Rhinolophus ferrumequinum: one gene and its partner. The protein of the gene in region 1 interacts with the protein of each later gene in a biochemical or structural test. Links are inferred from orthologs where the notes say so. Each region holds a gene or a part of one and is shown on either strand. Other genes may lie near its edges.

Region 1 (16,642 bases):
ACGTGACTTGTATTCATCGTTTGTTATCAGTATATATTGAGTATTACAATTTTAACAGTTTTCCTTTCTTAAAATGTGTATATATATTTTAGCACTATATATATGTATATACATATACATATATATATATGTATATATATGTATATATATACACACATATATAATATATTTCCTAAATTCTGATCTCAGTGAGGTCACTTGTTTAAAACATTATCTCCACAGCATAGCGCAAGTATCAGGCACAAAATAGGCATTCAATACGTATCACTTGCATAAATAAATAAATGAATGAATGAAGAACAATCTGTTCCTTCTTTAAACAGTGGTTACCCAAGCTCACACAATACAAACTTTACAGAGTCACTTCTGTTGATATTTTTATTTCTGGATTTATCTTGAGAGCAAATCTATTTCCAGGCATTTAGAGTAAATCACTGCAAAGTCCGGAGGCTTGAATGAAGTAAACTCTGTGATAATACTTGGTGCTTTCTGACATAGCCCATTAGAGATGGTGTGTGTACACCTAATCCAAAGGAATCTTCTGGCTCTTCAGCAGCTGTTCACATGGCTCCTGACCTGCCCTTCAGGCTCTACTAAATCAGGATTCCTCAGCTGTCTGAGCTTCCAGTAAGTTCTTTCAGTTAACCATCTATATGCCAACATTGCTCGTGTCTAGTTACACTCTTTAGAATCTATTTTTCCCTGTTCCTTCCTAGTTATTTTCCAATATATGGGAGCTATTGGGATTCACCAGTTTCATAGATAATATCATCAGTCCTTCAACTATTTTGGTACCATTTTGTCTACCTAGTCTCTAGTTTATTTCTAATATTGCCCTCTTGAGTATCAATGTAAAAAGGAATTACTCAATTTGCATTTGATGGAAATACTTGGGAAGTTCTGGTTCTGTTATTTTCCTTTCTTCTTTCTTTAGTTTGACCTCACAACGTTCCCAAAGCTAGAATCTGCACTTGTAACAACGTGCTGACTCCCATGCCCTTTAAGTCAGCACTTAGCTCAGGTTAAGGTAGAATGGCTGCTGTAATCTGATAAAGGAGCAGACAAGTTGTGTGCAAATAAAGATGGGTGCCAAGAATGAGCAAAAAGCCACTTATGTTTATGCCCTTTTATAGTCCTGATTCTGTGACAGTCTTAGCCAAAAACAGAGTAGAAGAGGGAGAGTAATTTAAAACAAAACAAAACAAAATCCAAGGAGAAGGTAAAAAACATTGAAAGAGTACCCGCTTTATTTGCCCATAATTGGGCATAATATGACACATTGTAATGCACATTGTACTCAATTAATACTGGTCTTTTTGAGACATCAATTATTCCATAATGGTGGAGGAAAAGTGTATCTAAAAGTTGAAGATACACTGGCAAAGACTATATATTATTTTGGCATATTTAAATTCCTCCTTGTTGCAATACCCATGAATGGGCTGAAGATTTATTAAATATAAACTAAAAATATGACAATTCAAATATCCGATTTTAAAAGTTTATTTAAAATTGTGTTAACTCATTCAGCTATCTACATTATGACTTCATTATTAATACATGGAAAAGCATTGGCTTTCATAATGCATTTTAATATTCGTCCTATTCATGAAAACCAGACTTTCTACTAAAATAAATAAATAATAAAACTACAATACACATAAGTAGAGGCAAAACTTCCCTTGGATTCTTTTACTTGAACAGTAACGTGAGACTACATAGTCTTAACTAGCCTAGATACATTTCAGCTTCCAAAACTGATGTATAAAAATATCAATTTTACAACAATTTGAATTTATGAAAAATGATTTCCTTAAAAACATGTGGAATCAAATGCTGAATTAACAGTTCTGGAAGACCCACGAACAACAAAAACACAACAGCAGCATTTTACCAGCATAACAAACAAATGACAGTTCCATTCCAGTTAAAGTGTAATTGAGAATTCTCTCCACCTTTCATTAGTGAAGAATGAGGTGTGCGATGACAAAGGGAAAGTGAGGCACTGAGGCAGAAGGCAAAGGTAATAAAGGAGACTGAAAAGAAACTGATCTCCCAACTCAATCCAGATTGCTAGGAACACTTGTTTTCTCAAGGCTTAATATCATTACATCTATTATGCAAAATCCTTCCAGGGATTGTAGGACCCCGGAAGATTGTCCTGTGTGTTCTTTCACTTAGTGAAATTCCCAGGTATTCTGAATGAATGATGTGAGAATAATATGAAGATTGAGACAGAGTTGAACAGAAATTCTTTGTTAAAATGGCAGCCAAAGTGGAAGACTGGAGTTATGGGAGAGGGAGTGCTGCCCTTGGGTTTTGCTAATGGGCAAGAGGTGGAGGTTGTGTGGTCATAAGGACGCTTGTAAGCATGAGTCAGCAGGGCCATCCATTTCCTCTCCTTGTCGTCTCTGCCTGCTGCCTATCAGAACTGTGGCTGAGAAATTTAAGATACCCTTGAAAACACCCACCAAGCCTCCCCTCTTCCCCCGCCATATTCAGGGCAGTAATCTTAAATAGGGAAAGAAAAAAGCCCTGGGAGTTAAAGTGTTTCAGAATCTCTGGAGGAGGCATCTGGCTTAAAAAGGGCAAATATGCTGTAATATATGGGAAAAACAAGCTTTTTGTACTACAAATTTCAGAAAAAAGTAAACCAAAGTTTTTAGCTGTTAATCTTCAAACTATAGTTTGCATATGAGTGATTTACAAAGAGCAGGTTTCCTCTCCCCTTCAAAAGGAGACAGAAGAATCTCCGAAGGATGTGTTCACTTTTAATATTAACTTGAGGGAGCTTGAAATTTTACAAAGAGAATAATTTTAAGGACAATTCTACATGTGCTGTAAGCAGACAACCCCCTCCCAAACTGGCAAAACAAAAAACTACACTCTAACATTGCCAATTTAACATTCACATCTGTATTAAAATTAAACTTCTGAACTCCAAATACGTGTTTTGAATACCACTCTGTCAATGTTGTACAGAGTGAAACTCCAAGGAAGATTAATTAATAGATGCTCTTCAATGAGGAGAAAGGTAAAGACCACAAGATGTTTATTTGCTTGTCTGTTTGCATTTTGAAGATCAATCTCCTACATGGAGAATACTCCCCAAAGATAAATATTTTCGTGAAATTCTGCTTTGGAAGTTGGTAGCATTTAATCAAAAAAGTCTTCTCCTTTCTCATACTGCAGTCGATGACCTTCCTCCCCAAAATGTTCTGATATGAACCAACTGCCCTGATAACAGAACACAAATCTCCTAGGACTACAGCAGGACTTTGTCAGAAAGAAAACCGTTGCCTCCCTCTGAATCCAACGCAAACCTGAATGTACTGTATAAAAATAAACCAAGGTCATCATTATTCCTTCTCATTGTGATTTGGCTTGCCTTCAAATCACATACCCTGTATGTCTGAAATACCTACACAGCCTTCATTAACTGAGTTTGACATCAGTTTAATCAATGTATCTTTTCAGAATAAAAGGCAGAAATGTCACATTCCTACCATTATACATTTTTTAAACTCTCTAATCTGCATTAAATAAAAGCTGGTCTTTGAGAAATAATCTATGCTTTAAAAAATGATAACTAGCATTAATTTTATTTTAAACTGTAACTGGGAAAAGATTCATCCACAACACATTTCTTCATACAGAGGTGACTTCCCATGAAACTTTGAACACTTAAGCCTTGAGGCTCTACACTTATGTTTCATTGGACAGAGGACGTACATTAGTCTTATTTGTAAATTTCTTATAAATGACGTGCGTTTAAAATAGAAAATAAGTCAATGAACAAAACATGACATTTAAAGAAAAGTTAATTTCCAATTAATTTTCAATGTTTCTCTTAAGTGATTAACTCTGTGATTACAGGTGTACGTATGTTTCTTTAAACATTTATACTCACACCAAAACACCATGTTTCTTGCATTTGCAATAGAAGAATAGTTTAATGAAAAATATAATAAATCATTTTTAATAAGTTAGGGAACTAGTACAGGAGAAAGTGGAAGGGGAAGGAAGGTTTGGGAAATCACTGCTTTATCCTTGTGATAAAGCCATGATGAAAGATAATAAAACAGAATTTAAAAAAAAAACCCACCTTGTATTTCTAAGACAACGAAGATTTTAATCTCTTTTATTAAACCACACAAGTGGTTAAGAAACTTGACAATTTGTTTCATATGTAGCAAATGACTTGGACTACAAGGATTTCAAATGAATACTTCAGGACTCAAGAGGAAGCTATACTAATATCTCTGTCCAAATTAAGAACAAATATTTCAGTTCTGCCTAGCTGGAGTAGTGTCAACCAACAACTTTTTTCTTAAATAACATACACTTACACAAAACACTTTGTAGTCTATTTTGTAAGTTTTAGAGTAACTCTACATGATGTTCTCCACTGTATATTCCATAATATTATGCCATGTAAGAGACACAGAAAACTTCTTATTAAAATAAAAGCTATACTCTCTATTTCAGCAAGCTCTTTTTCATAGTTAAGATGTCCTTAAAAGACTCTGCAGATGAAATTCTAAAAGACGATTTTATTAGACCTAAAGATAATTTGCATTATTTAAAAAATTTGAATGAAATGTATATTTGCAATAAATTATTTGAATAATTCTTTGCAAGGCAATACTTGAGTATTTCTAACCGTGAACAATTCTTGTCTAATACAATGATCCTCTCTATTAATTGGTAACTATTTTGGTTAAAAACCAACCAAATGTACTCTCAATGTTTTCAAACTAAGGCAATTTTAAAAACTAGACACAAATGTCAATACACTCAAATAGTAGCATGTTGTCAATTAGTAAAAGTTAATGTATAATATAACCTTGTGAATATCTTCATTTTCTTTTCACAAACCCATTGTCATGTAGCATAAACATTACCTGATAGTTTTAAAATGTACTATCATAAAGTTGTACAGGGCTTGTCCTAAAAAGGTTAGCTATCTTCAAATTCTAGTTAAGAGTTTAAAAAGTTATTTGAATATCTATGACAAAACAGACAGTAAGTTTGCCTTGCTTCATTCCAGAATTGAATCTTTGCTATTCTTTCTCAGTTTTTCTATACACTGGTTTATGGTTTTAATTTTGTAAATATACTGATTGCTTGATCAGTCAATTATGTATGTGTGTTGCAAAGAATATAGGCTACTGGATTTTTGTAATATTAGTAAATGGAATAGTTTTTCAATTAGAAATCAATTTTGATGCTCTCCAAGAAATTTATAAAATAAGGGTATTATATAGAAATGTTTCACTACATATAAACTCTGGAAAGACCTAATGTGAGCCAGCAATTGTACAATGTAAACTTTTTTCCACAAATTTTTCTCAGAGGCAAAACTTCTGTTATGACTCTTTTTCTAGAAGTTTTGAAGACTTACTTATTTGGAGAGATTTACGTTTTTCATTCTTACTTATAAGCATTGCCCTCATAGCTATTTCAGAATGACTATAACCCAGAAGTCAAAGGCAGGAAAAAAAGATTGTCTACTTCATCCACCTCTTTGGGACACACTGTGCTCCTCATATATTATTTTTATTGTTGTGTCACAGTCAATTTTGAAATTTTTCATTAGTCATCATAACTTTCTTAAAATAAACAAAATAGTTGTGCTTTACATAAAATTCAAATTAAAAAGCTTTACTGAAAAGCTAGGTCATCACAGACATGAAACAACACAGTGACTTTACTGTGAAATATAATTAGAAGTCTCTCATGTTTTTATGGTGTTTTCTCAAGAAAAGTGTCTGATCATTTGATGGCATAGATTATATCATTATTACAGAAAAGAACATTCAAAACACTAAATGTAATATGAGAAAGGAACTTTTAAATTAAATATTTATCAATACTTTTCTCAACCTCCATTTATCCATCACCATTCATTTTATTTTTTAAATTTCTCCCCATGATACGCCAGATACAATTTTTCTAATCTTGAGATCTCCACAAATCATGCCCACACAGCAACTAGTTCATTGAGAATATTTGCCAGGTCACTACCCCAACATATAACCGTTACTAAATACAGAAGTATCAAATAATCAAGATAATAACTCAGATTCACAAACGATTTCACAGCAGTTAAAATGGTTTGTTGCAAATACTCCAGGCCAGTGATGCATGTTCTATTACTTTAGTGGTTTCTTAAATAAGAAAGATGTGTTTGATTATATTTGTAAGAACAAAAGTTTAAACTCTACCTCATTTCTACTGAAAAGTTTTCACAATGAGAAACATGTACACCTGCACAAATATACGTACGCAGAATATGTAACATTTATGGTTATTCACAAAATATTATAATAATTTAAAATCAATCTGTCTAATCAGTGAGCTTGTCACAAACTAAAAGTTATGCCACTGTAAAAAATATTTTTACTTTGTACTTACAACAGTCCTCTACTTCTTCCCACCAAAGCATTTGGAAAATAAAATGTGTATCAAGGCAGCGATAAAAATCTTGGTAAAATTTCTCCCAACTTTATTGCTCCAGTAGGTTTAGGAATGATGAGAAACCAAACAACTCCAGCAGCCTTTAAAAAATAACACTTTGGTTTTTCCTAGTCCGTTTTTCTCTGAAGCTAATTGCCTCCAAGATCTGAGTCCTGAAAGGGGAAAGTGAGTGATCCTAACACTGAGTGAGTCAACACAGTAACTGATGCCAGGATTCTGTAGAGGCCCCTGGATATTTCAAATTCCAGGACCTGCGCAGAAGCAAGTGACCCGCCTCTTCTCTCAAGTTGGTTTCCCATAATAGGACTGCCCATGGTCACTACATATAAGGTTGTGCTTCCAGCATGGCAAGTCCTGTGAATTCAAATAATGTTCAACTGTGTTCTGATTAATATCCAAACCAGAATAGCACAGTGGACACAGTACTTGCTCTCAAAGCCTTCTTAACATAGAACCTCTTTAGTGCAAAACTGTAACAATACTTTCTGTAACTTCTATGCACATTTCTAAAATAACAGAGCAAAAACTCCTGATGCAGAATAGACTTCTAAATGCTTTTCCTTATTTTACCTTCTTAACAACACTAAAATTTTCACTCCACTAAACAAAAGGAAATGCCCAGAATAATCTATGCACGCCTTATGTATCCACTGTTTACCAAACTTAATTTCTACTCTGGGGATCCAATCAAAAGTCATGTATTGATGATGTCAACAGTCTGAGTAAGAGAAACAACAGAAGAATTGAACAGCTGAGCTCTGAAGGCAGAATGTGTATAGGTCTCACGGGATGAGGTTCCTGCTAAAATAAAGAACACTCTAATAATGGAACAAAGAAATCTTACTCAAACATGAAATTCCCATTGTAGCTTTTGATAAAACATTTTTAACTAACGAATTACTGTTTCTTCAACTTCTTTGGTGACAATTATTACAACAACATTCTCTTAGACACTGAGTTAATGACAAATTTTTTAATTGCTCGCAATAGATGCTTTTTTCTGTATTAAATGAACACAATTGTAATGTATCATTCAACATGTTTGTAAATAATTATTTGCCACTAGAAGGCTTCTTTATCTTCTTTCTTATTTTTATAATTTATTTATACTAAATTTATTTGGGTGACATTGGTTAATAAAATTATCATATTTTTATTTTTAATGCAACAGGTAAGCCCAATATTTATAGGAAACATTGGTAGCATGTTTTAGAAAGATATTCCTTTTGCAATTAAAATAATCTCTGTTAAAATTATTTGTCTGAGTATTTTTATAGTACCATTTGTTAAAGTGACAGTCTCATTTTTTTATGTCAACCATTCAATTGCTTGGGACATAAATAAATTATAGACAAACATACAGAAAAACTGACATATTGAGTCAAGCTATGATATTAACCTTAATAGTGAATTATACATTTTATATTTTAGAATATCATTATCATAATACTACCATTCCTCCCTAACAAAATCTATATGAAAGAAAATATAAGGCCTAATGTTATGTAACTGTATTTTAAGTGCTATTATTAAAAGGATTTAAAATGTTCTTCTCCATAGCTTTCCTCCTTTCCTCTCCTTAGCGTGGTTGTCTAAATATGCATATAAGCAACAATTTCATAAAAACATAAAAAAATGTTTTAGGACTGACATGGATCCAAGTCTGCATGTTAGCATCAATGCCCTATGCGATGGGTATCATATCACTCAGAGTACGAGTTCCTTTACACCTTGTACTGTGAGTTTCCTACAGATATAAACTCATGTTTAGGCTAAGGCATATGTATAGTTTTATCAGTGATTTGTACAGTGTGATCCACAAAGCATCACATAGGAACTTTTTAGTAATGCAAGTACACAAGACCTGGAAAATAAGAAATTGCGAATAGGACCTGGTACACTCTGTGTTTTACTGGTGATCCTAATGCATGGCCAATTTTGAAAAACCCTGTCGTTTTTCAAACCAACAGTGGCTCCAAATATACCAAACACCTGTCTTGGTTAATTATATAAAGTACCAAAGAAGATCCAAGATGGTGGAGTAGATAAATGTTGTGCTTGCCTCATCCCATGAACACATCAAAATTACAACTGAATTATAGAAAAAATAGCCTGGACAACCATCTAAAGTCTAGCTGAACAGAAGTTTTATAACCAAGGGTATAAAGAAGAAGCCACATCAACATTGGTCGGAGGGGTGAAGTCTCAAAAGGGGCTGGTCCCACACCCATGTGTGGTAGCTGAAAATTGAGAGAGATATCTTGGCCAAAGAGGTTCCCCATGAAGGAGTAAGGAACCCCAGCCCCACACACCAGGCTCCCTAGCCGGAAAACTGGTGCCAACAAGAGGAGCCCCCACAACTTCTGGCTATGAAAAACAGTGGGGATTCCAACTGTCAGGATAGGACGGAAGGCTGTGGAAAACCCAGCTGTCCTTTTAACAGCCCACACAGACACTCACCCTGGGCTCTGGTGGAGGGATGGTAACCATGGGGGCGTTGGAGACATGGGTAGAGACTAAGTTGTATAACTTCGGGGCAAGGACTGAGGAACAGTCCCCATTTTCCCTGTGTGGGGCCCTTCTCCAATGCAGCCAGCAGAAGGGCACCATTTTTCCTGTGCTGAGTCCACCTCCACAGGCCTAATCTGAATCTGATTGGCCTAGTGAGCTCTGCTGCTCCACCCTGTTGATTCATTGAGACCTGGCCTCACCTGACTTGTATACTGCAGGAGGCTTTATCAGCAGCTAAAGCTTATGGGAGTTGGCAGGTGGCAGCAGGCCTCTGAATTTCCTGGCTTTTTGTAGAGCTACTGCAGACCCTGCACTGGTGGCAGCCATCCTCAGTTTGCAGCATGGCCTCTCCAACGCACCTCCCGGTACAACACAGGTAGTGACCAATCATGGATCACTTTGTAGCTCCTACCAGGTAGTTCCCAGCCAGTCACAGACAGTGGCTTCCCTGGGCCTGCACCAGAGCCCCTCCCAAGAGGCTTCAGAACCAACATACTTGGAAGTTGGCTTCAGACCACAGCAGAGTACCACCCAATTAGCCCCACAAGTGGCACACCCAAAGGGCGGTCTCAACAGGCACCAAAACCTGCTGGGGCAAATCCCTCTCCATATGGTAGGTTCCACCACACAGCAGCCCATAAGCTGTGGATGTGGCCAAACCTCCCAGCCAGTCAGCCTGAGGGTCAATACCCACCAAGATATGCCAACAGCAATCAAGGCTCAATTATAACAGGAGGGCACACGCAACCCACACAGGGACACTGCTGGAGCACCTGGAGCAGGTGACCGGGGAGACTGTGCCACGAGGCCCCAAGGACCCCTATTACATAAGGTCACCCAGCCAAGACTGGGAGACATAGCAGCACTACCTAATACATAGAAAGAAAAACAGAAAGGCAGTGAAAATGAGGAATCAAAGAAATATGTCCCAAATGTAAGAACAGGAGAAAACTCCAGAAAAAGAACAAAATGAAATGGCTGCAAGCAACCTACCGGATAGAGTTCAAAACACTGGTAATAAGAATGCTCAAGAAATTTAGTGAGAATTTCAACAAAGAGATAGCAAGCCTAAAAAGGACATATAAACCATAAAAAGGAACCAGTCACAAGTGAAGAACACAATAACTGTAAAGAAGAATGCACTAGAAGAAATCACTAGCAGAATAGATGAAGCAGAGGATCAAATCAGCAATTTGGAAGAAATGGCTGCAGAAAACACCCAATCAGAACAGCAAAAGAAAAATAAGAATAAAAGAAAATGAGGACAGTTTAAGACACCTCTGGGACAACATCAAGTGTAACAACATTCGCATCATAGAGGTACCACAAGAAGAGAGAAAGCAAGGGATTTAGAACCCATTTGAAGAAATAACTGAAAACTTTCCTAATTTGGTGAAGGAAATAGACATACAAGCCCAGAAAGTGCAGAGAGTCCCAAACAAGATGAACCCAAACAGGCCCACACCAAGACACATTATAATTAAAATGGCAAAGTTTAAAGACAAAGAGAAATTTAAAAGCAGCAGGGGAAAGGCAACTATTAGGTTGGTGCAAAAGTAATTGTGGTTTAAAAGGTTAGCAATAATTGTAAAAACCGCAATCACTTTTGCACCAACCTAAGAGTAACTTATAAAGGAGCTCCCATAAGACTGTCAGCTGATTTGTCAACGGAAACTTTGCAGGCCAGAAGGGACTGGCAGGAAATATTCAAAATGATGAAAAGGAAGGATCTACAACCACGAAGACTACCAACCAAGGTCATTATTTAAAATCAAAGAATAAAGAGCTTCCCAGACAAGAAAAGGCAAAAAGAGTTCATCATCACCAAACCAGTATTACAAGGAATGTTAGAGGAACTCCTTTAAGATGGGAAAAAAAGATCAAAATTATGAATAATAAAATAGCAATAGCTACATATCTATCAACAATTACTTTCAATGTAAATGGATTAAATGCTCCAATCAAATGGCACAGGAGAACTGAATGGATAAAAAAACCCCAAACCCTTACATATGCTGCTTACAAAAGAATCACTTCATATTGTAAGACACACACACAAATGGAAAATAAAGAGATGAAAGGAGATGTTTCATGAAAATGGAAACAAACAAAAAAAGCTGGCGAAGCCATGCTTACATCAGACAAAATAGACTTTCAAACAAAGGTTATACCAAGAGACAAAGAAGGACCCAGAAAACCCACTTCAGGGTATTTATCTGAAGAAAGCCAAAGGCTATTTGGAGGAGACATATGTATCCATATGTTCATTGCAGCATTGCGTACAATGGCCAAGATGTCGAAGCAGCCTGGGTGTCTGTTGATAGAAGAATGGAAAAAGAGGAGGTGGTACATATCTACAGTGGAATATTACTCAGCCGTCGAAGGGAATGGGTTCTTTTCATCTGCAGAGGCATGGATGGACGTGGAGGGTACTGTGCTGAGTGGAGTATGTCAGACAGAGAAAGACAGATGCAATGTGATCTGGCTTATATGTGGAATCTAAAGAACAAGATAAACAAAACAGAAACAGACTCATAGATACAGAGAACATTTTAATGGTTGCCAGATGGGAAGGGAGTTGGTGTGGCGGGTGAAAAGGGGAAGGGATTAAGTAGTATGAATTAGTTGTTACGAAGTAGTCATGGGAATGTAGGGTATAAGGATTACAGTCAATAATATTGTAATAACTATGTATAGTTATTACATAGTTATTACAATCCTCATGTGCGTACTAACTTTGTTGGGGTGACAGATGGGATGAGGGTTGGGGGGCAGGGTGAAAAAGGTGAAGTGATTAAGAAGTACAAATTAGTAATTACAAAATAATCATGGGGATGTAAAGCATAGGGAATACAGTCAATAATGTGGTAATAACTATATATAGTGCCAGGTTAGTGCTAGACTAGACGGGGGGATCACTTCTTAAATTATATAAATGTGTAAACATATGCTGTATACCTGAAATTAATATAAATTATTGAATGTCAACTGTAATTGAAAATTTTAAAGGGGGGGGAAGGTGAAGGGCAATAAGAGGTCCAAATTCCCAGGTATAAAACAAATAAGTCGTGGGGATGTAATGCACAGCATGGGGAATATAGTCAATAATATTGTGATAGCGGGGTACAGTGTCAGACGGTTGTTGTACTTATCATGGTGATCACTTCTTTATGTAGGTAAATGTTGAATAACTATTGTGTATACCTGAAACTAATATAATATTGTATGCTAACTATTTTTTAATAAAAATCAAATATATATATATATATATATCCAAATACTCTCAGGTATATCTGTCTTTCAATTTCAGTCAATAATCACAATTTATTGGGCACCTGTAATCAATTCTACATTAAAGTGGAATACACATACATCCCTTAAAGTTTTACAGTCTAAGTGGGAAGACATGCTTATGGTAACTGGAAAAAGGGGAAGGTACATCAAATAAAATTTAGCACAAAAACAGTGAATTCTAATTCAGACCTTGGCATTATTTTCCTATGGTCCTTAGTCACTTCCCTCTCTCATTTAGTCTCCACAGTAACTACATTGGGTATGTCTTAAGAGCCCCATTATAAACATGGCTGGTCAAGGAACCTGCTAAAGTACCTATTGTTAATGATTGGCAGAGCAGGATTTTTAAAAATGTAACTTTTTATTTTGAAACAATTATAGATTCACAGAAAGTTGCAAAAATCGTACACAGGGGTACCCTACCTATACTCTTTGCCCAATTTTCCCCAACAGTTACATTGATCATAAGGCAATAGCAAAACTAGAAAATTGGTATAATGTGTGTATATATATTTGTCATTTTATCATAACTGTAGCTGTATGTAACCACAGCCTCAATCACAATACAGTACCATTCCATCACCACAAAGCTCTTCCTTGTATTATCCCTTTACAGTCATACCAACCACTCTCCTCTACCAGCCTGGCATCCACTAATTTGTTCTTCATTACTGGAATTTTGCCATTTCAACAATGTTAGATAAATGGAATCATTCAATATGTGGCTTTTTGACATTAGCTTTTTTTCATAAATAAAGCTGCAAAACAATCACATACATTTTTTTCCCATTTATTTGGGATTAATACCCAGGAGTAAAGTTACTGGATCAGATGGTAAATGTATGTTCAGGTTTTTAAAGAAACTGCCAAAATATTTTCCAGAGGGTCTGTATCAGTTTACATATCTGCCAGCAATGTGAGTGATCTAGTTTCTCTGCATCCTTTTGGCATTTGGTGTTATTTTTAAACATTTTTATTAAATTTATTGGGGTGACATTGGTTAATAAAATTATATAGGCTTGAAGTGCACAATTCTGTAATACATCATCTACATATCACATTGTGGGCTCATCACCAAGAGTCAGCTCTCCTTCCATCACCATATTTTTGACTCCCATTACCGTCTTCTACCATCCCCCTCCCTCTTGTATTTTCTTTTTTTATTGTAGTCTTCAGCATGCAGAGATATATCATGGTGATCTCAATTGGAATTTCTCGAATGGTTGATGACATTGAACATCTTTTCTCATGCTTATTTGCCATCTAAATGTACTCTTCAGTGATATATCTGTTCGTATCTCTCGCTCATTTCCTAAACAGATTATTTTTTTAAACTGCTGAATTTTGAGTGTTCTTTATGTATTCTAGCTTTGAGTCCTTTGTCAGATATGTGGTTTGCAAATATGTTCTCTCAGTCTGTACCTTGTTTTTCCATCCTCTTAATAGGGTAAGACCAAAGCAAATTTTTAAATTTTTATAAAGTCCAATTTATTGAATTTGTTTCTTAGATGGACGGTCCTTTTGGTGTTAGGTCTAAGAACTCTTCATTGAGCCTTAATTCATGAATATTTCTATGATTTTTTTCTAAGTTTTAGTATCTTCTTATATTTACATTTAAATCTATGACTAATTTTGAGTTTACTTTTGTGTAAGGTGTGGAGTTTAGGTAGAAGTTTTCTTTTTATTGCTTACAGATTTCCAATTGCTCCAATACCGTTTGTTGAAAAGACTTTCCTCCTTCTGCTTTTGTACCTTTGTCAGAAATCAGTTGGGCATATTTGTGTGAATTTATTTCTGGAATCGTGATTCTGTCCTATTGATTTATATTTCTATCCCTCTGCCAGTACCACACTGCCTTAATAACTGTAGCTATACAATTTACCTAAGCATTAGGTAGAGTTATTCTCCCACTTTATTATTCTTTTTCAAAATTGTCTTAGAAATTCTAGTTCCTGTGCCTTACCATATTAATTTTAGAATAAGCTTATCTACAAATAGGTTTACAAGTCAGACTACAAAATATCTTTCTCTTATCTTGATAGGAATTGCATTAAATAGATCAATTTGGGGGAAATGGACATTTTCACTATGTTGAGTTTTCTAATCCATTAACAGTATACTCGTATACTTCCAATATTTAGGTCATCTTTAAGTTATTTCATCAAACTGTGCCTTCTAATAGTGCTTTGCATTGTGATTAATTTGTTTCATGTTTCTAATATGACTATAATGATATTACTGCTGTTATGGATGTGATTGTACAAAAAAAGGGAAAAGAGCAAAGCTTCTCAAGTGACAGTTTTGAAGAAGAAGTCCATTTAGAAAAGAAATGTCTATAACTCAACATGCACCATACATGCATGCTGTTAAAACAACTTTAAATGATAAGGTTATAATTGTTTACACATGAATTCATATAGAACTTTACTTTCTCAAGAATGCAAAGCATCTTTTTGTTACATTGAAGGCTTACATCAGCTTTTTTAAAAAATTACTTTACTTAGGCTATAATTTAAAGATACATATTGTACAATGAAGACTGGTCCTTGCTTATATTCTAATATTAACTAGTAATCCCTATGTCATAAAAAAGGTAGAATATTATTTAGAAAGAATTGATAATGATAAACTTAAAAGTGAGCAAGGAGTAAATTCTTAGGAAATGGCAGTATTTTACATAAATTGGGAGAGGTCTGAGTCATTTCCCCCACTTATTCAATTATTTAACATAATTTTAAGCAGTATGATTAATAGAGCTTCACAGGATAAATAAGCTAGAAAGAAACAGGCTTGAAAACTATGACATTTATATAATGTTCTCAAATTTAGTGATTTGAGAAAATAATTTCTGGGCCATTTCTTCTTTCCTCCCCCGCAATGATGCATGTTGGTTAAAATGTTACACATTCTATTAGATAGGTGCAAAAAGTGATTTTTGCAATTTTTTTAATCTTTTAAACCGCAATTACTTTTGCAATAACCTAATATAAAGGCATGTATTTCTTAGATTTTTTTTTAAACAAATCTTTTCAGATAAATCCAATGGAGAAATGTATAAGCTATGGGTAGTCCATTGGCACTGAGACCAGAGAAATTAAGACAGATAGGTTTCAGGCAATTTGGTCCTTATCTGTATATTTTTAAAAAGTTTGCTGGTATTATGATAGGAATTCCATTAAAACTGTAGATTAATTTAGCGGAGAACTGATATATTTACTAGATATATATTACCAACATGTATTAGAATACGCTTATCTACAAATAGGTCTACAGATCAGACTACAAAATATCTTTCTCTTATCTTGATAGGAATTGTATTAAACAGATCAATTTGTTATATTTACCAGTCCATGAACACATTATCTTCTATCCTTTTATTTAGGTCATTGTTTTATTTCATCAGTTCTTTCAGTTTGTAGCATTTAAGTCCTAGATATGCTTTGTTAACTTCATAGTCTCTTCTCTCTTTTTTTGGAGTGACTGTAGATATTACGTTTTGAATTTGGGTTCCCAGTAGTTCACTTCTTGTCTAGAGAAACACAATTGACTTTTGTATTTTTATCTTGTTGAACTCTATGAGTAATTTTGTAGAATTGCTGGGAAATATTTTACATAGCCCATCGTAACATCTGCAAATAGGCGCTGTTTTACCTCTTCCACCCTGATCATATGCTTTTATGTACTTCTCTTGCATTTTTTTGCTGGCTAGAACTTCCAATACTATAATGAATAGCAGGCCCGAAAGCAAAGATCTTTCCCTTGATCCTACTATTAGAAAGAAAGATTTAAAATCTTTCAACATTATTATGCTGTTAGCTATAGGCTTTTGGTAGATAACCTTTATCAATTTGAAGAAGTAGTCCTCATTCCTAGTTTTCATCATGAATGGGTATTGAGATTTGTCAAAACTTTTTTTCCTGCATGGATTGATAAGATCATTTGATTATTCTTTAGCTAGCAAATATGACTTATCACATTTTGTTAAGGACTTCTGACTCTATGAAGGCTACTGGTCTGTAGTTTTCTTTTTTTTTCTTTTTTTTTTTCTTTTTTTGTACTGTGCTTGTCTGGTTTCGTATCAGCGTACTTTTTGCCTCGTAAAATGTGTTTGGAAGTGTTGCCTCCTCTTCTGTTTTCTGGACTTTGACAGTTCTTTAATCACATGAAAAACGTCATGACACTTCCTTCTGGATCCAATCATTTCTTATAAGAAACTGTGACATTTGATTTTTTGCCTGTAGATAGAGTCCTTTCTCTTTCACTGCTTTCGGAATTTCTTTATCCCTAGTCTTCAGAAGTGTGACTACGATGGGTACAGGCTATGATGGATCTCTTTGGGTATATTCTGTGTGTTCAC
Region 2 (17,119 bases), on another chromosome or scaffold:
AAGTGAAAGGATGGGAAAAGAGATATCATGCAAACATCAATCAAAGAAAAAAAGGAATGTCCATTTAATATCAGTTACAGCAAACTTTGAGCAAATGAAATTACCAGCTATAGAGAAGGATATGATATAATAATAAAAGAGTCAATATGTCAAGAGGACATAGCAATCCTAAATATGTAAATACCAAACAATGGAACTGAAAAATATATAAAGTCAAACTGGCAGAAGTGAAAGGAGGAAGAGATAAATCTACAATTATAACTGGAGACTTCACAGGCTCTTTCAACAATCAATAGGACAACTAGATAGAAAATTAGCAAATATGTACAAGAACTCATCAGCAACATCAACCAACAGGATCCAGTGAGCATTTATAGAACACTCTACTCCCAAACAGCTGAATACACAATCTTTTCAAGTGCTCACGGAACATACACCAAGACAGAAAACATTTCAGACCATAAAGTAAATCTAAACAAATTTAAAAGAATTGAATTCATACAGAGTGTGTTCTCTGACCCAAATGGAATCAAACTAGAAATCCGTAACATAAACATAACAGAAAATTCTCCAAACATTTGGAAACTAAACAACACACTTCTAAATAACCCATGGGTCAAAGAGGAAATCTGAAAAGAAATTTTAAAAAGTACTTGGACCACTTTAAAAGAAAATACAGCATATCAAAATGTTTGGGATATAGCTATGGCAGTGCTGAGAGGGAAATTTATAGTACTAAATGCATACATTAGAAAAGAGAAAAACCTAAAACAGTGTAGAAACTAGTGAGCAAACTAAACCCAAAGGAAGCATAACGGAGGAAATAATAATTATAAGAACAGAAACCAATGGAATGGAAAACAGTAAAACAATGGAGAAAATCAGTGAAACAATGTGTTCCTTTAAAGATCAATTAAACTGACAAACCTCAGCAAAACTGACAGAAAAAAGACACAAACTACCAACATCAAGAATGAGGCAATGGATATTACTACAGAACCTGCTGACATCAAAAGAACAAAAATAAATACTATGAGCAACTCTATGCAAATAAATTTGACAACTTAGATGAAATGAACCACTTCCTTAATGAACTTAAATTATCACAATTCATACAATATGAAACAGGTCATGTGAATAGCCTATAAATATTATTATGGGTTGAATTGTGTTCCCTTAAAATTCGTGTGTTGAAACTGTAACCCCTAGCATAGAATGTAGCCATATATGGAGATATGGTCTTTAATTGACGTTTAAGTTAAATGTGACAAAGAGAATGGGCCCTAATCCAATCTGATTTGTGTCTTTATAAGAAGAGAAAATTCAGATACACAGAGGCACCATGGATGCACATACAGAGGAAAGGCCATGTAAGGACCTAGTGAGAAGGTGACCATCTCCAAGTCAAGCAGAGAGGCCTCAGAAGAAACCAAATCTGTTGACACTTTAATCTTGGACTTCCAAGCCTCCAGAACTGTGAGAAAATACATTTCTGTTTTTTAATACATTCTGTTTGTTGTATTTTGTTATGGCAGCCCTAACAAATAAATACAAGCATTAAAGAAATAGAGTTCATAACTAAAAAATGAAGTACTGAAAAAGAAACCTCCCAGCTTAGATGATTGCACTGAAGAATTCTGCCAAACATTTAAAGAAGAATAAACACCAGTGCTATATAATATCTTTTAGGAAATAGAAGAAGAGGACAGATAACCCAATCCATTTTATGAAGCCAGTACTACTGATACTAATAACAAAGATAGCACCAAAAAGAAAACTAGAGACCAATATCTCTCATGAATGTAGATACAAAACTCTAACAAAATATTGGCAAATAGGAAGGCATACAAAGAATTATACACAATGACTAAATGGGGTTTATTGCAGGGATGCAAGGCTGATTTCTAGTTAAAAATCAATGTACTCCACCTTTTAAGAGGCTAAAGAAGGAAAATTAAATGATCATATCACTTGATGAAAAAAAGCATTTGACAAAAATTAGTAGCTATTCATGATAAAAATACTCAGAAAAATTGTAATAAAGGCAAAATTCTTCAATCTGATAAAGAACATCTACAAAAAAATTGACAGCTGATATTATACTTAATGGTAAAAGACTGAATGTTTTCCTCTGGAGATCAGCAACAAGGAAAGGATTCCACTCTCACCACTTTTATTCACTATAGTCCTGGAAATTCTAGTCCGTGCAATAAGGCAAGAAAAGAAAACAAAAGGCATACAGATCAGAAAAGAAAGGGAAAAAAAAAAAAAAAAAACTGTCCTTATTTTCAAATGACATAATGGTCTACATAGACAATTCTAAGAAATCAGAAAAAACTTTTAGGACTAATAAATTGAGCAATCCCAGGATACAAATAAGATTCCAAAACAACAACAACAACAACAACAAAAAACCAATGAATTTCTATATATTTGCAATGAATATTCTAATAGGTGTGTAGTGATATCTTATTGTAGTTCTAATTTGCATTTCCTTAATGATGTTGAACATCTTTTCATGTGCTTAATTTCCATTTGTATATCCTTCTTGGTGAAATATCTCTTCATATTATTTGCCCATTTTCTAATTGGATTGTTTGTTGTGTTTTACTGTTAAGGTTTAAGATGGTGCCTTTGCCCTCAATGGGGGTAAACTGGGTAAAAGACACCATGGGATTTCTCTGTTACTTCTTACAATGGCATGTGAATCTCCCATTATCTAAAAATAACAGGTTTAATTAAAAAATATGGATTGGATATATCCTCACTTTTCAGATTATATTTGACAGTGTAAAATAAACATACAGCATGATTTGTATGTTTATCTGCATTGCTTTTTACAATAACATACGATAGCACCTATGATATTTTTGTCCCTTGTTGGTGCAGGTGACAAAAAAAGATACACACATAGCTGCTCTGGTTTCTGTACCATGTTGACACTATCAAATCTGTTTAGAAAACACAGCTTGGGTGCTGTATGCAGGTGTTGGCACTGTTCTTGGCTTGTGCTTGCTGTCAAATAGGCTACCTCATGCATTCCCTCAAAATAAACCATAGCTTTCATCATCATTCCTTGAGTAAATACAACCCCCACCGAAAAATAAGAATATCATCAATTTCACAAGTTTAGTATCTACTTTCTTTGCTGGTGGTTTTATGCTGGGATTACCTTCCCATGCTAAAGTTCTAAAACAGAGTTGTTGGTGATTCTGCATTTACGTAAAAAGATAAATCATTGTTTAGGTGATAAAACTATTGAAGGGAATTGGCTAATTTTATCTGGTAAAAATCAGGTCTGTTCAGTAGTCTTGCCATTTTCTTTCATCTGGGTCCGTGAAAGCGTTGCATTTATGAATGGGAACGGCCATCTGACTCACTTTGGCCAATAAAATATGAGTGGAATTGGCAAGTACTGCTCTCTGGTGAAAGCCTTTAAGAACTTGTGGGTAATTCACCAAGTTCCCTTGTGCCTGATGAAGGATGAGGATGTTTTGGGTGACGGGGGCTTTATCAGCCCAGGTCCCTAAGTGAGGAAGGTGTAGAATAGAGGTTTTTGTTGACTAACACAGCACACAGCATTAGCAAGAAATACACCCATGTTTTTTTCAGTCACCGAGATTTTAGAGTGGTTTGTCATAACTGCCCAACCTAAACTATTATAACTGGTGAGTGTATTTTATATTTACATTAAACACACGAAACTCTTTGGAGTAGGACCCTGCACTGGGGCATCAAATTGTAAACTCCAGTAAATGAGTTATTCTTTGGTGTACTTGATGGCATCCTCCACTCAGATAACCCATGCACACCCATATGTCCACAGAAAGCAAAATCAAGTCTTGCATCTCTTTCCTTATGGTATAAATTAGAGCAATAGTTTGCTAGTTACTCTGTGACATAGAGCTTTGCATGAAGCTGAGCATACAGAGAAATGATGTATCACAGTCTTAATAGGGATACATGAGTCATAAGAAAATGTGCTCTGCCTTAAGCATTTCCAAGAGCTTCAAAGAAGAGTCACGCATTTGTAGATGTGTACTGTGTATGAATTGTGATTCATGGTTAACATTAACATTCATCACATAACCTGCATATTACCTATTATTTGCAAGGAGAAATAACATTGACTAACATTTATTTTCAGACAGTGTGCAGTACTTCACTTTGCTGATGACATGTACCATCTGTCTTAGGTTAACATTATTTAGATAATATTTAAAATTGCTAAGTTTTTTTAAATCATAATAATTACTGTGATTCGTGTCAAAAGATCTCATTGTAAAAATTAACAGGGTTTTAAACTATTTTACCAAAGTAATTCAACAGATGTTGTTTATGTTATACTTTGTAGCCTCCTTGCAGTGCATATTCTGAACAAAGACTGTAGGGGAAGGTGAAACAATTGACTTAAAATTCTTAAGTTTTTTAATGGTCATAGAACTTCCAGCAGTTAAAGATATTTCCCTAATTATTGGAAATGCATATTTGGAACTACATATTCTTAACGTTAAAATTTTCAACAGTTTCAAATGGTACTCAAGTTACTATTTTTGAATTTTAAAAATATATAATATGTAAGGAGACATTTCTCATAACCTAGCAGTCACTAGTCTTTGTCTAGGCATTCATATATCTCTTCTTGCTTTATCTATATATTTTCCCTGTAAAATATAGGACAAAAAGCATTGATATAAAGGAAGTCTTATTCTTTCTCCATTGATTTTTATGAAGGGAAAAGGAACCAAAAGATCCAATTAAGAGGTGTTATTATTTTTAACAACGACGGGAGTTGAATGCACCAGTAAATTTATGAACCAGATGTTACACATCGATAGCTCACAGTATGGACTACAGAAATAGAAATACTGAGTTTAGGGCTCATCTCTAACTATGCAACAATGGTCATGATTACTGTCCTCTTTGTCCTTAACTTTCCCTTTCTATAAAATGGGGATAATAGAAATACATGCAGACTTCAGAAGGCTATTGTGAGGAATATGTAAGTTAATTTACATAGAGCCCATAGAATGATGTCCAGCATGCAGTAAGTATTCAATAAATTTAGGTATTATTATGTTTGATTTAAATTGTTAATACCCTTTTACCAAGCATATTAAACATTTAATATCACCTCCCTTACTCTGGGGCCTCTTCTCTTCTTTTGGACACTTCATAGAATCTTAGGTACTGTGTGCTGAATCAATTATATTTCTATCTTGAAACATTCTTCCACTTTAATAACACACACACGCACATACACACAACCACTTTTTAAAATTTGAAATAAAATGACTATATTTCTTTAAACTTAAATTATTCTTAGCAAATAGGATAATAACCAGATAAGGATAGCACATGCTCTCTGTGCTTTAAAAAGTATTGATGGGAATTTTGTAAACTTCCCCATTTCCATAGGTGGATAATAAGGGGGAATAGTATGTCTTCTTCTGGTGAATAGAAAAGTGGAGAGCTATTCAGAGGGAGACACAGGTCTCTGATTCAGAAAATAATTCACAAAATATTTATGAAAGCATTTATAAAGACCATTTGACTTAGTAAACACTTCGTCACACATCATTTCTCCACAAATATGATTTATTGTCATCCTGTTTTGACCCTCCTATCTCGTCCAGAATTCCTTATTACATATTCTTATAGAATTCCTTCTTTCAGAGAATTTATCTCAATTTGTGCATAAAGGTTTATCTGTATAATTATTTTATTAATGTCTGACCCTCTATGTTGTCAGGGCCCAGTCATCTTTCTGCTCACTATTGATCCCCCGTCCTCTGCCAAGCATCTGGAACAGAGGGGCTCTCAAGAAGCAGAGACAGTAGGATTCTCCCAAAACTAGAAGTGTGGGACTTGAAAAAGTCATGTGAGTCTACCAGGTGAGGTCAAACTAGCAAGGGAATGTCTTCTTTAAAATAAGTAACAAAAACCAGAAAACTGGAACAATTCTGACTCAGTTAAGAAAGGACATATGTATAACAGGATTAATGCCTTAATGACAATCAACATCGTATGTAAATAGTTTGGCAAAATTCAAACTCAATTTCAATATCAGAAACAGTTGTGTTTGACGGCATGCAACTCTTCTAACCACAGCATTGCACTCCAGCATCCCAAAATAACGCCGGAGCCATAGTTTGGGATGTGGAGGAGATTAACCATTGAAGAGCAGAAAAAAATTTTTTTCACATCCAAAGCTCATGTTTCCATATAGTTCCAGTTGGATTTGGTCTATTTTCACTTATAATATTGACTACGTATGGATTTGAAATATGTATATTGAATTTAATTAAACTGAAAGACAAGAATTAAGGAAATCTATGAATGTCAAAATAATTTTGAAACTTGTTATGTAAAGAAGCAATTAAATTTACTTGAAAAAATAACAGATGAAGATTTAAGTGAGACATCTGTCCAATTGAATGAATAGCATGAGAGCTCCATGATAAGCTCAAATGAAGAGTAATTCTCCAAATATGTACAGTTAGAGTTCACCCCACTGAGACCTTTCACAACATCATGGTTCATTTAAAACAAGTGGAGATTTAAAAAGTATTTCAACTTAGAACTAATGAGAAAATTTGATTTCAGTCTTCATTGCTCCACAACTTTGTATAAAGTATATACAATTGGCTAAAAGGCATGACATACATCAATACCCTCAAAATATAGCCTGCTTTTCATTACTGATAGTTGAAAGAAAATTGTATAATTCTTCTTTCAAAACTGCCTAACCTCTTGTCAGAGTAATTGGCTTAAAGATGATTAAACTTGTTAAAAAAATCTGCAAGATGGTATTCAGAAGAAAATGATGACCCTACATTGAGCAAAGGACAGACTAATATCTTAGGAAGTTTAAAATTAAGTGCAAACAAATATATAGATTCAGACATCTGCTTTATAGTGATTTATTTGCTGGTAAATCTTAACTGCTGAAAATCTATGTTGCTTATAAATACTACTTTAATCTATAATTGTTGTAGGAAACTTGGTTAATTGTGGCAAAAGGAAACTACTCAAAGGATATTTTCCATAAATATAGTATTAAAAATTTAGGAAAAGAGTTATTTGTCCCCAATTTGTAGTACATAGTCAGTTAAGAGGTTCATCTTGGTACAGAGATGTGGGCCATATGTCAAATAGAAAACTTTAGGTACAATGGAGTCCTATTTTAATGAAATATATAAATATTAAGAGTACACCAAAAGACCAACTGGGCTGTAACATTTCATAACTGTACGACCTTGGGTAAGTTATTTCACCTCTCTGTGTCTGGACTTCCTCATCTGTAAAAGATGGATAATATTATTACCTACTCCTTATGGTGATATAAGAATTAAGTGAGAGAATAAAGCTTATAACTGTACTTGGAATATGTGGAGAGCTGTTTTTTCCCTAAAGTTTCTACCTTTGGCATAAGCATAATAGTGTCTTTTCTTGTAAAAGAAAAGAGTAACTCTGTGCACTTTGACAATATAAGTTACTGTCATATTCAAAAGGAAACACAAACAAACATTAAATACCAAGTGATCATAACAGATAACAGGAAAACTTGAACGTTAAACATCAGTGCAAAAGACCATTTTTTAGAGTACAAATGAACATAAAGGTGGTTAGCTTCACAAGTGTACATTTAATATTTTTTTCCTCCTAAGTTCTACAGTTATCACCAACCCAAGGCTACCAAAGAGAAAGTTTTACTACCAAGTCCCAGCCGTGGTACCTTTGAGCTCAAGCACAGCGTCACCACCCCTCTTCTCTCCTTGGCTTTGGTTTTTTGACTGACATCTCTCCACCACCCACGCCGGGTACCAGAACCAACCTCCCGTTCGCCTTCTGTCCAACGGAAAACTCTAAAGTGGCAACAGGCTACAAAAGCCATAGACATCCACCCGGTACCCAACGGCCCCAGCGACCCCCAAGTGCCCACTCCCACTCAGACCTCCGCGCGGGCACCGCAGTGCATTGCAACACGCGCAGACGCCGCTGGCTGGAAAGGAACCCATCGCGGATTTCCTGGTCAATAACCCCCAGACTGCTCCCCAACGTGAGTGTCATCCCTAATGGATGTGGCTACGCCACCTCTCACAGGCTCAGTCCGCGAGGACGACTCAGAGGGCGCAATGACAACAAAACAACTCAACCCGCGACGCGAGGGAGCCGGCTGCCATCGCCAGCCCCGGAGCGACGACGCAGCGGCGACAGCGGGGGCTGCAGCGACGCCGGGCCTCGGCGGGCGGCTGAGATTTACCTGCGCGGCCCCGCGCCCCCGGGCCGGCCATCCTGCAGCAGCCGCTACGGCCGCCCCCGGGCCCGAGGCGCCGCCCGCCGCCGGGGAGGCGCCGAGCCGCAGTCCTGGCTGCGGCGCCCGGCACATGCTTCGCGCTCGCCGCGGCCAGCGTCGGCGCACAGGTGGGAACCCGGCGAGTGGGCGTTGGGGTGATTCCCTGCCCCCGCCGGCGCGGGCGGTCCGCTTCCACTCCTGACTTTGCCGGGTGCGCGGCGCCTGCCCTTGCTCCAGCAGCCGAGCCTCGGGTGCCGGCGCCCCGGCGCCGTGGGCGGCCGGGGTCCCTGCGCAGCTGGGGCTGCGCGTCATGTGCATCTCCCGCCTCGCCGTTCGCTCCGCTGCACCGGGCGGCCGGGGGCAGCTCGCAGCATCCCTGCCCCGCGCCCACTTCTCGCCCGACACCCGGACCCCTCCACCCCCGTGCCCTCCCCCACTCCGGAGCTGTCAAAGAAGAAAACGCCTTGCACACACCTTGGAATGGACGGGCGCCTCAGTCACCGACTCGCCAAACTCTTAGAAGGCGTCCATTGGTCTGTAGGGAGGTTTGGGCATGGAGTAGGAGCCGCTTTCTTATTATTTAATAATGTTGGAAGTGCCGGGTCCGCTGCCAGAGTTGTGGGTCATGTGGGCACAGCAGAGGCTGGCTGCTGCCAGTACCAGGGTTTCCTGAGGATCCTGAAACTATGATCTCATCCTCCTCATCCGCCTCCCCCGCCCTTCTCTCCGCGGGCGCGCACGCACAGCACACACACACACACACACACACACACACACGCACACATGCACACACACGCACACTGCATGCACTATCCTCCTTCCTGGATCGAAATATTCCACTAGGGAAATACAGTGTTCACGCTCTTCATTGAAAAAAAAAATCCTTTCTGATATTTTTCTTTCAAAGCTTGATTTATGCGCTTTGTTTATTTTCCACAGTTTTCCCTCACACGTGCGAGGGATCTGAACAGAGCCTCAGAATTAAAAAAATAATAATCATCATCATCCTCTTATGTTGACCCAGATTTTGGTCAGAACCCAAGGACTCAAACATACAATTTCAATTTAAAACAGAGGCAGTGATATACCAGACTTGAATATGGAATAGTAATAGAATCTGAGAGTATGAAATGGGTTTCTTTCCCAAGCTGCGAACATTACCTCATTTATTTGCAGAGCATCTTTGCAGAGGAGGCAGATGAGAAGGCAAATAAGTAGTCACTTCAGAGACACAGAAGAGGCGTAGGTCAGATAACACGACCGATCCAAGTGCACATGTCAATATCTCACTATAACTATTAATTGCACAGCTACTCGTAGGTTGCTTATTTACTATAATCAATTCCTGGAAACTTAAGTTCTGAAAAATAATGAAGATAGGCTTGATTATTTTTAACTTACCTACTATCTGAGATTGCAAATGAATCAATTTCTCTCTCTATATATGTTGTTATATAATTTTCTTTTGTGTATTTGTATATATTTCCTGTTTCACGTTTTTATATAATTTTCTTTTTTGGGGATATGTATATGTCTGTGTGTGCGCATTCATATTCATTTGTGTTACTTAACTCCTTAGATAGTAATATCAAGAAATTTTAGTCATTATTTTTGGGGTAGTCACCAATTTCATAATGATTTACAAATTTCACTCAAAACCTTTTTAAATGCCTGATGCATATAAAGAGCTGTGCTATGTTTTAAAGGATATAGGGAAGTTTAATATTTGGAACCTGTCCTCCACTAGTTTACATCTAGTTGTTGAGTATATATATATATATATATATATATATATATATATATATATATATTAGAGAATATATACATATTATAGAGAATATATATAATATAGAGAATATATATATACACATATATATTTGTAGAATATATATATGTGTGTATATATATTCTCTATATTTGGTGTTATGAATATATATATATGTGTGTGTGTGTGTATATATATATATATATATATATTCTACAAATATATATACCAAAAAGTCTACAAGAGAAGCGCTTTATTAGTTTTGGTGTTATGAATTGTCACAGAGAAAGTACAAGATACACTTCTTTTCTTTTTACCAATGTAATTTCTGTTCCACACTAAAATTATTTCATTTGTCTGTGTGCCCCATATTTCAGTCTCTCATTGACTCCCACAACATCTCAATGGCCAAGGTAATTTGTTACCTTTACCCTTCACCTACACACCCACCATACTCACATAAATACCACATGGGGATTTTTTCCCTTGTGATTATAAAAGTTTTCACAAAAAACACTCTTGTGTACCTTTTGTTCAGGTGTATATAAGAAAATTCAGCGGTCTTCTAATAATACAAGGAAAAGCGAAATGGTGTGTGAGAGAGAATGGCTCAAGGAAAAGGCAGAAGAGTAAGTAGTGCAAAGAGGTGGGGGAAGGGAAGAATAAAAGGGAATTAAGAAATTACAAGATAAGGGAGAGAAAAAGAGGGGGAAAGCAAAAGAAGAAGAAAAAGAAGACCAACTTTCAAGTGAAAACCAAGATTTTCCGCATTTTTCTGTGTGGAAAACAAATTTAGGAAATCACAGAGTTTCTTATTGCTATGATTTTTTTTTTTTTTGATAAGCTGACAGGAATTTAATGGCAATGACACCAGGTGTGAGTCCTGCAGAGACAACACTGAAAGATCTCAATTTTCAAAATTCAAGTGTAGGATCCACTAGAAGAAATAAGTAGGCTGACCCATCAATATAACGTAATAATAAAAATCACAATGCGTTCAAATAGTCACGGTACACGTAGTATTTTATGAAGAAATTGACACTGAAATTAAGGGCAATAAATGGGAAAACAAAGGCACAGGAATATTAAGGCAGGCAATAAAGAGCTAGGCTTGCAGTACTTAATGCCAAAAATAGTAATAATTATATATTTTTAAGAGTACTTCAATTTTCAAAGTGCTTTCATACCATTTTTATTGAACCTGATAATAAAGAGAGGCAGGCACCGTTGTGGGCTTCATTTTGAAAGACAGTAATAATTCTTCCAGTTTTCTACATGTTGAATAGAGTATGCTGAAAAATTTCACTCATTGTTTTGGAAATATCACTTATATTTTCTGACCAGTCAACACTGAAGATGTTGCTCAGTATCCCTCCCTCCAATCCTTCTCATAAACAATACAACTAGATGGATTCCTGGGCATAGATCGCAACAGTGATTGATAATCCAGGATTTTACACAGGCTATTAGAGTTAAACTAGAAGCTTTAGCATGTAGCAGATGCTGATGGCTTTGTAGTATCTCTGGGAGATTTCTGTAGAAGAGGTGGAGGCCCAAATTGAACAGCAATATATCAAGAGCACTTTTCTTTTGATCTGCGTACTCATGGCAGGATTTGCTTTAATTAGAGGTATATTTAGGTTTGATGATTATAACATGTGTTTCTGAAATGCATTACAACTTCAGTGGCTCAACAGTCACTAGCAGTTTGTGTCAAAATACCTTCAAGTAGGGAAAAACATTTTTAATATGGCTATAATATTAAAAATATTTTAATATTAAAAATATTTTTAATATTTTTAATATGGCTATGTACACATATTTATGGGTCGTAATAATTTAGGCTATCTTTATCAAGAAAAATAAATTACTGATATTTACTATTTTGCTCTTATAATTTCTTGACTTTAAAAATAGTTTATAATTAATGAGATTGGTTATCTGTAAAATCAGAATGCTCACTATGGTACAGTGAAACTCTGAGTGTATGTGTTTTATAAATACAGAGATATAGAGAGTGTTATAGGTCAAATAAGAATGATTACTATTACCTATGCACTGGTAATAGTTTGGGGGCATGAGGCATCAAACATTTTGGAAACTTTACGAAATTTGAATGACAAGAGTAGAAAAGAAGATGGATTCAAAAAAGTTGAAGAAGTGAAGACATTGCTATTTTTATCAATTAGAAACACATGTACCCCCTGGGTATAGAAGACTGTTTCGGAGAAGGATGATTTGGGGTTTGAAGAACACAAAATATACATAAATTCTGCTCCTCCAAGAAACTTGATTTTCCTTCTTGATTAGCTTTCAAGAATGAAAAATTCATTACCAGTTCAACACAGGATTCGAAGTGATGGATCAACTGAGCTGTGGCTTGGAGGATTCATGGTTAGATTTTTTTGGGAGGGTGAGAATTAATAAATTTTGAGGCCAAGATGGGCAGAAAGAACCCTTTGCTATTCTCTGACTTTTCAAGATACCCCCATTTTGGAACTCATCAGCCTCAGACAGAACATTGTCGTCTGACCGCCACTGAAATGAATAAATTGTGTCCTAAGAATTCATGAAAATTGAGGGGATGTAAAGTATGTGTTTGTATTAATAAACACCAAGGGTGTTCGTTCAGTCTCCTTATGCATCACTTCAAAGTGCTTATTTATATAAAGTTAGTATCTAATTGCCTAAGAATTGAGGCATGGTCCTGTCAGTTGTTTGTGAGTAAATGCAAGGTCAGGAGAACAGAGGTATTTTTCCTTTCATCCCACCTACGTATGCTCCCCAATCCCTTAGCTAGACTGAAGCCTCCTGTATACAGGACTGTGCCTTGTAATTCAGCTGCTTTGGTAGTGCATATTACGGTGCTCAGCTGCAGTGTCTCTTGTTTGATCTTCCTGTCTGCCTAAGATCCTCAGGAGAAATGCATTTGCATTCCCCATGTTCTCTTGGGACAGGAGAGAACATTGCTTAAAAATGGGTGGGTCTAAGTGGTCAAGTGTATTTTGTTTTCTCATGTTGGTGTATACAAATTTGTTGCCATTTTAAGTAGCTGTGATTCCACCTTGTAATGGCAATTCATTAACTACATATTCTAGTGGTTCACAGCTCTCAATGGCATCACACCAGTGTGCCCTTTATTCCTGGGAGAATTTATTTTTCATTGGACCACAGATAAAACATAAATATTTTAGGCGAAACTCAAGTGTGCTGTCACAGAAGAGATAGTGAAAAAAAGCCAGCCGGAGAGTACAGTTTATCAGGAAGTGCTTATAATCTATATACTTGCTGCTAGAATTGCTTTTAACTCTATTTTTCATTGTTTTAGGGCTGAATGTTTTTGTCTTTGTTTTTCCCAAGAATATAGAATATCTTGGTACATGTAACCAAGAATAAAATTGAATAAATAATAAACATCATCATAATAAATACACTTGATCAATGTTGATTACCAATCCAAATAATTAAGGACAAAAGTGCTGTTTATTGAAGATAAATTATCTGAATAGCGATCCACATTATCTCAAGGAACTGTCAAATTTTTCCTTAATGATTCTAAATAAAACCTAATGATTTTAATAATACCAAAGAAACCAGTTACACACTGAAGAGCTTCATTAAAACAATTTTATTTACATGAAATCAGTTCGTCTAACTTATTTCCCAGTGAAATGATTTTTTACATATTATATAGATACAGCCCAAATCTCCTGTATACTGTCAGGAACCATGTTAACAAGTGCACAGTTTAATTTCAAAGTTAATCCCTATAGTAAATACCATATAATTATTTGATGCTGTGAAGCATTGTATTTTATGAGAGACTAAATGGAAAAAAAAAATGGGTGGGAGAGGAAAGGAAACTAAACTAACCAAATTGTAATCTTTAAAACTGTGTAACTAATACGTGGGTAGATCCATAATTAAAATTTATTATCGGAAATAATGGTATTTCACCTTTTAGGGGATACATTTTGAGACAGTTCAAAGTGTATTCCTATAAGGTGATAATATATTTATCAATATGTAAATTCTATTTGTTAATTAAGACGCTTATCTTTTATTTGTGCCACAAGTATCATCTATGATTCTCCTGTTTTGTGTTTTTCTTTTCCTCCTTTATATCCCTGATCTGCATCACCAGATCAGCTTGAACATTCTTCATGGTTTCAATGCTTTTTTATTTACATATCTCTCTTTCCCCTTTTTTATGTCTGTCATTAGACAGAAAGGGACAGGAATACTGGGCATTTTACAATGTTTTATCATAACTACACGGCTTATTTTGTACCCAGTTCAGCATTGTCTATGCTTTTCACTAGAAATACATGAAAATTTCCTGATTTTGAAACTGTCATTTTTTTTTATGTGCACAGATCTCAAAAAGCATTTTAAGATGCTCAAGGACAGAGGCCATGATGAAAACATCCTTTTTTTTTTTTTTTTCCCTCCCTAGAGAATCAATCACGTTTATCTCATATAGCAAGTGCTTGGAAAATACTTGTAGGCATAGGATGAGAATGATGGTAAGGAAAATTCAAAAATTTTACTTCTGGCCCTGTGCAGTATATAGAAACAATTCTTTTAGGCTTGTAAATGCCTTTAATAGAGCATGTTTTTGTATGTTTTATATGAACAAGGTGAACTGGATACCCTGTGTATGACTTGCTTTTGCTATTGGGGTACATGCAACTTTTTCTCTGTGTATTTAAAACAAACAAACCAAAAAATGTTTTGGATGACAGAATTATGTACATGTAAGAATATTCATTTAAATCTTGTGATTAATACCAGTACAGTATATTTCTCTTTGTAATATTTCTTCAATTTAACAAAGAAAAATAATTGTAACTCCACTCATCTATCTCTGTGTCTTAAATGTTTAGAAGAAAAGATGCTCAGCATTTAAAATATAGTGTATAGTTTACTTCAGAGGACATAGTGGATATTTTAGATCTTCTGGTTCTTAAAGAAAATAGAAACAATTTACTTATTTTATAGAAGTAGAGTGAATACTTTAAGGATTATATGCATTGTATAAAGTATTTGTTCCATACCCTCTCTGTTCTTTTCTTAACCATCATTCAAAGTACATTTTCCAACTCAGCATTATCCACCCTCCTTGAACTCACTTTAAAGACTTACTCTTGGAAACACTGTCTTCAAATGTGTTCTGTTTTTATCTAATCATTTTATGCGTATTAGACATTTGGATTGTCCACTCCTTCACCAGGATTGCAAACTCCTTATGCTATACGTCTCTTGTACATTTCACAACTTCTTGTAGTTATTCAGTAAATACTTGCTGATTGCTTTGTTGATTAACTGAAAATAAGTTACTGTTTTGACATGACATTGCCCCAAGTATGAGAGAGTAATGTGTTCTCTTTCTACTTATTATTAATTTGCATGCATTTTCAAATCTTTAGATATATATTCCTGATACAGTATTAATTTTTTTATAATAATGACATAAAGTTTGATAACAGAAATCTTCCTCCTATATATAAATAAATAAATAAGAATTAAACCAAAATCAGTGTGTTGTTTAGTTGCAAGGAGTAATTACTGCCTATGATCTTTTATATTTCTGCCTTAACCAGATGTTATTATTACAATATCATTCATTTTGGATAATATAATTTTATTTCCTACTTTAAGGAACTTTGAAAAACAAATGTGGAAGTATTTAAGTATAAAGGATTTTCTTTCTTTGGTATCTTTTGCTCAGTGTTATAAATTTTTCATAATCTAAAAATTGAAGCTGATTTATTTTTCCAATTACATGCTCATCATACTACAGAATGGTTTATATTTGTTCAGAGAAAATGAACAAATATTTCAACAACTGAAATATTTGTTGAATGTCAATGTATATTAAACACGTTTGTTTTACAATAGGTCATATCAAAGAGCTGCAATCTACAATCAATAGTTGTCCTGCGGGGTGGCCTGCGGGGTCTCAGCTCCCGCTCCCCACATAAGAACGCAGGATATGGTGAGGCCAAGAAGGAACACCCACGGAGCCATAGATAGGGGAGTCATACCACTATAGTCTCGCTGGAGACTGGGTTGGAGACACAGGAAACAGGAGACACAGGATCCGCAACCCTCACTCTGCCACTTGCTAGCTCAGGCACCATCTTCTTGCTAGCCCCCTTTGCTGCTAGCATAGCCACGGCAGTTATATTAGTGGCCAATGGCTCACTGGTTACAGCTGACGGCTAACTAGCCAAAGCTGATGGCCATCCAATCACAGTTGATGGCCATTTACCACCTGAGCCAGCACCTTTTCATGTGAGGCTGAGAGCCTGGAAACTGCACTCCTGGCTCTGTCCCCACAATAGTCTTTAGGAAATTCAAATTTACTACCTTAGCTTTTATTTCTAAAATAAAAACCTCAATTATAATTTTCTTCACATCCTGATAGAAGAATAAAATACACTAGGACTTTCTCCACTGGTGTTTTTACCTCATCTTATGTGAGAACATTTCTGGTCATTTCTCTTGTTAGCTGGGATGCTTCCAATGACAAAGGACTGGGCTCCTTCTCTTAGTTTTTATTTGCACTGAGGCTCCTTTAACCTGAGATAAGACAATCATGGAGCAACAATCCTCAGTCCAACAAGGACAGGGTCACCCAGTAGGTATACATACTATGTGTGGGCTTTTAACATTAACAACAGGGGCACTAAAATAGTTAAAAGATGTTTGTTAAAGCCTTCAAAGTAGTTGTCATGTGGGGTGTCATGCGGGGTCTCTGGTCCTGCTCCACACATAAGAGCGGAGGATATGGTGAGGCCAAAAAGGAACACCCACGGAGCTATAGATAGGGGAGTCATACCACTATAGTCTCGCTGGCGGCTGGGTTGGAGACACAAGAAACAGCAGCCACACTATCCACAACCTGCCGTCCACTTCTCTCTGCCAACCAACCTCACTTGCTAGCTGCAATCTGCCATGCTAACTGCAATCCGCTCTTGCTAGCTCAGTTACCATCCGCTTGCAAGCCCCCATTTGCTGCTAGCGTAGCCACGGCAGTTATGTTAGTGGCC

What was found.
Region 2: the proteins of DMD (region 1) and DTNA form a complex in vitro, tested with the Homo sapiens proteins (3 studies listed by BioGRID and IntAct, with this or other methods). The link is inferred for Rhinolophus ferrumequinum from reciprocal best matches to the Homo sapiens genes DMD and DTNA.

What each region holds. Positions count from the first base shown.
Region 1 is NC_046284.1:99,551,327-99,567,968, reverse strand, and holds the start of DMD (dystrophin), read right to left. Parts: upstream 6,651-16,642; 5' UTR 6,449-6,650; coding exon 6,418-6,448; intron 1-6,417. UniProt on the Homo sapiens protein: Anchors the extracellular matrix to the cytoskeleton via F-actin. Ligand for dystroglycan.
Region 2 is NC_046302.1:28,655,009-28,672,127, reverse strand, and holds the start of DTNA (dystrobrevin alpha), read right to left. Parts: upstream 9,025-17,119; 5' UTR 8,774-9,024; intron 1-8,773. UniProt on the Homo sapiens protein: May be involved in the formation and stability of synapses as well as being involved in the clustering of nicotinic acetylcholine receptors.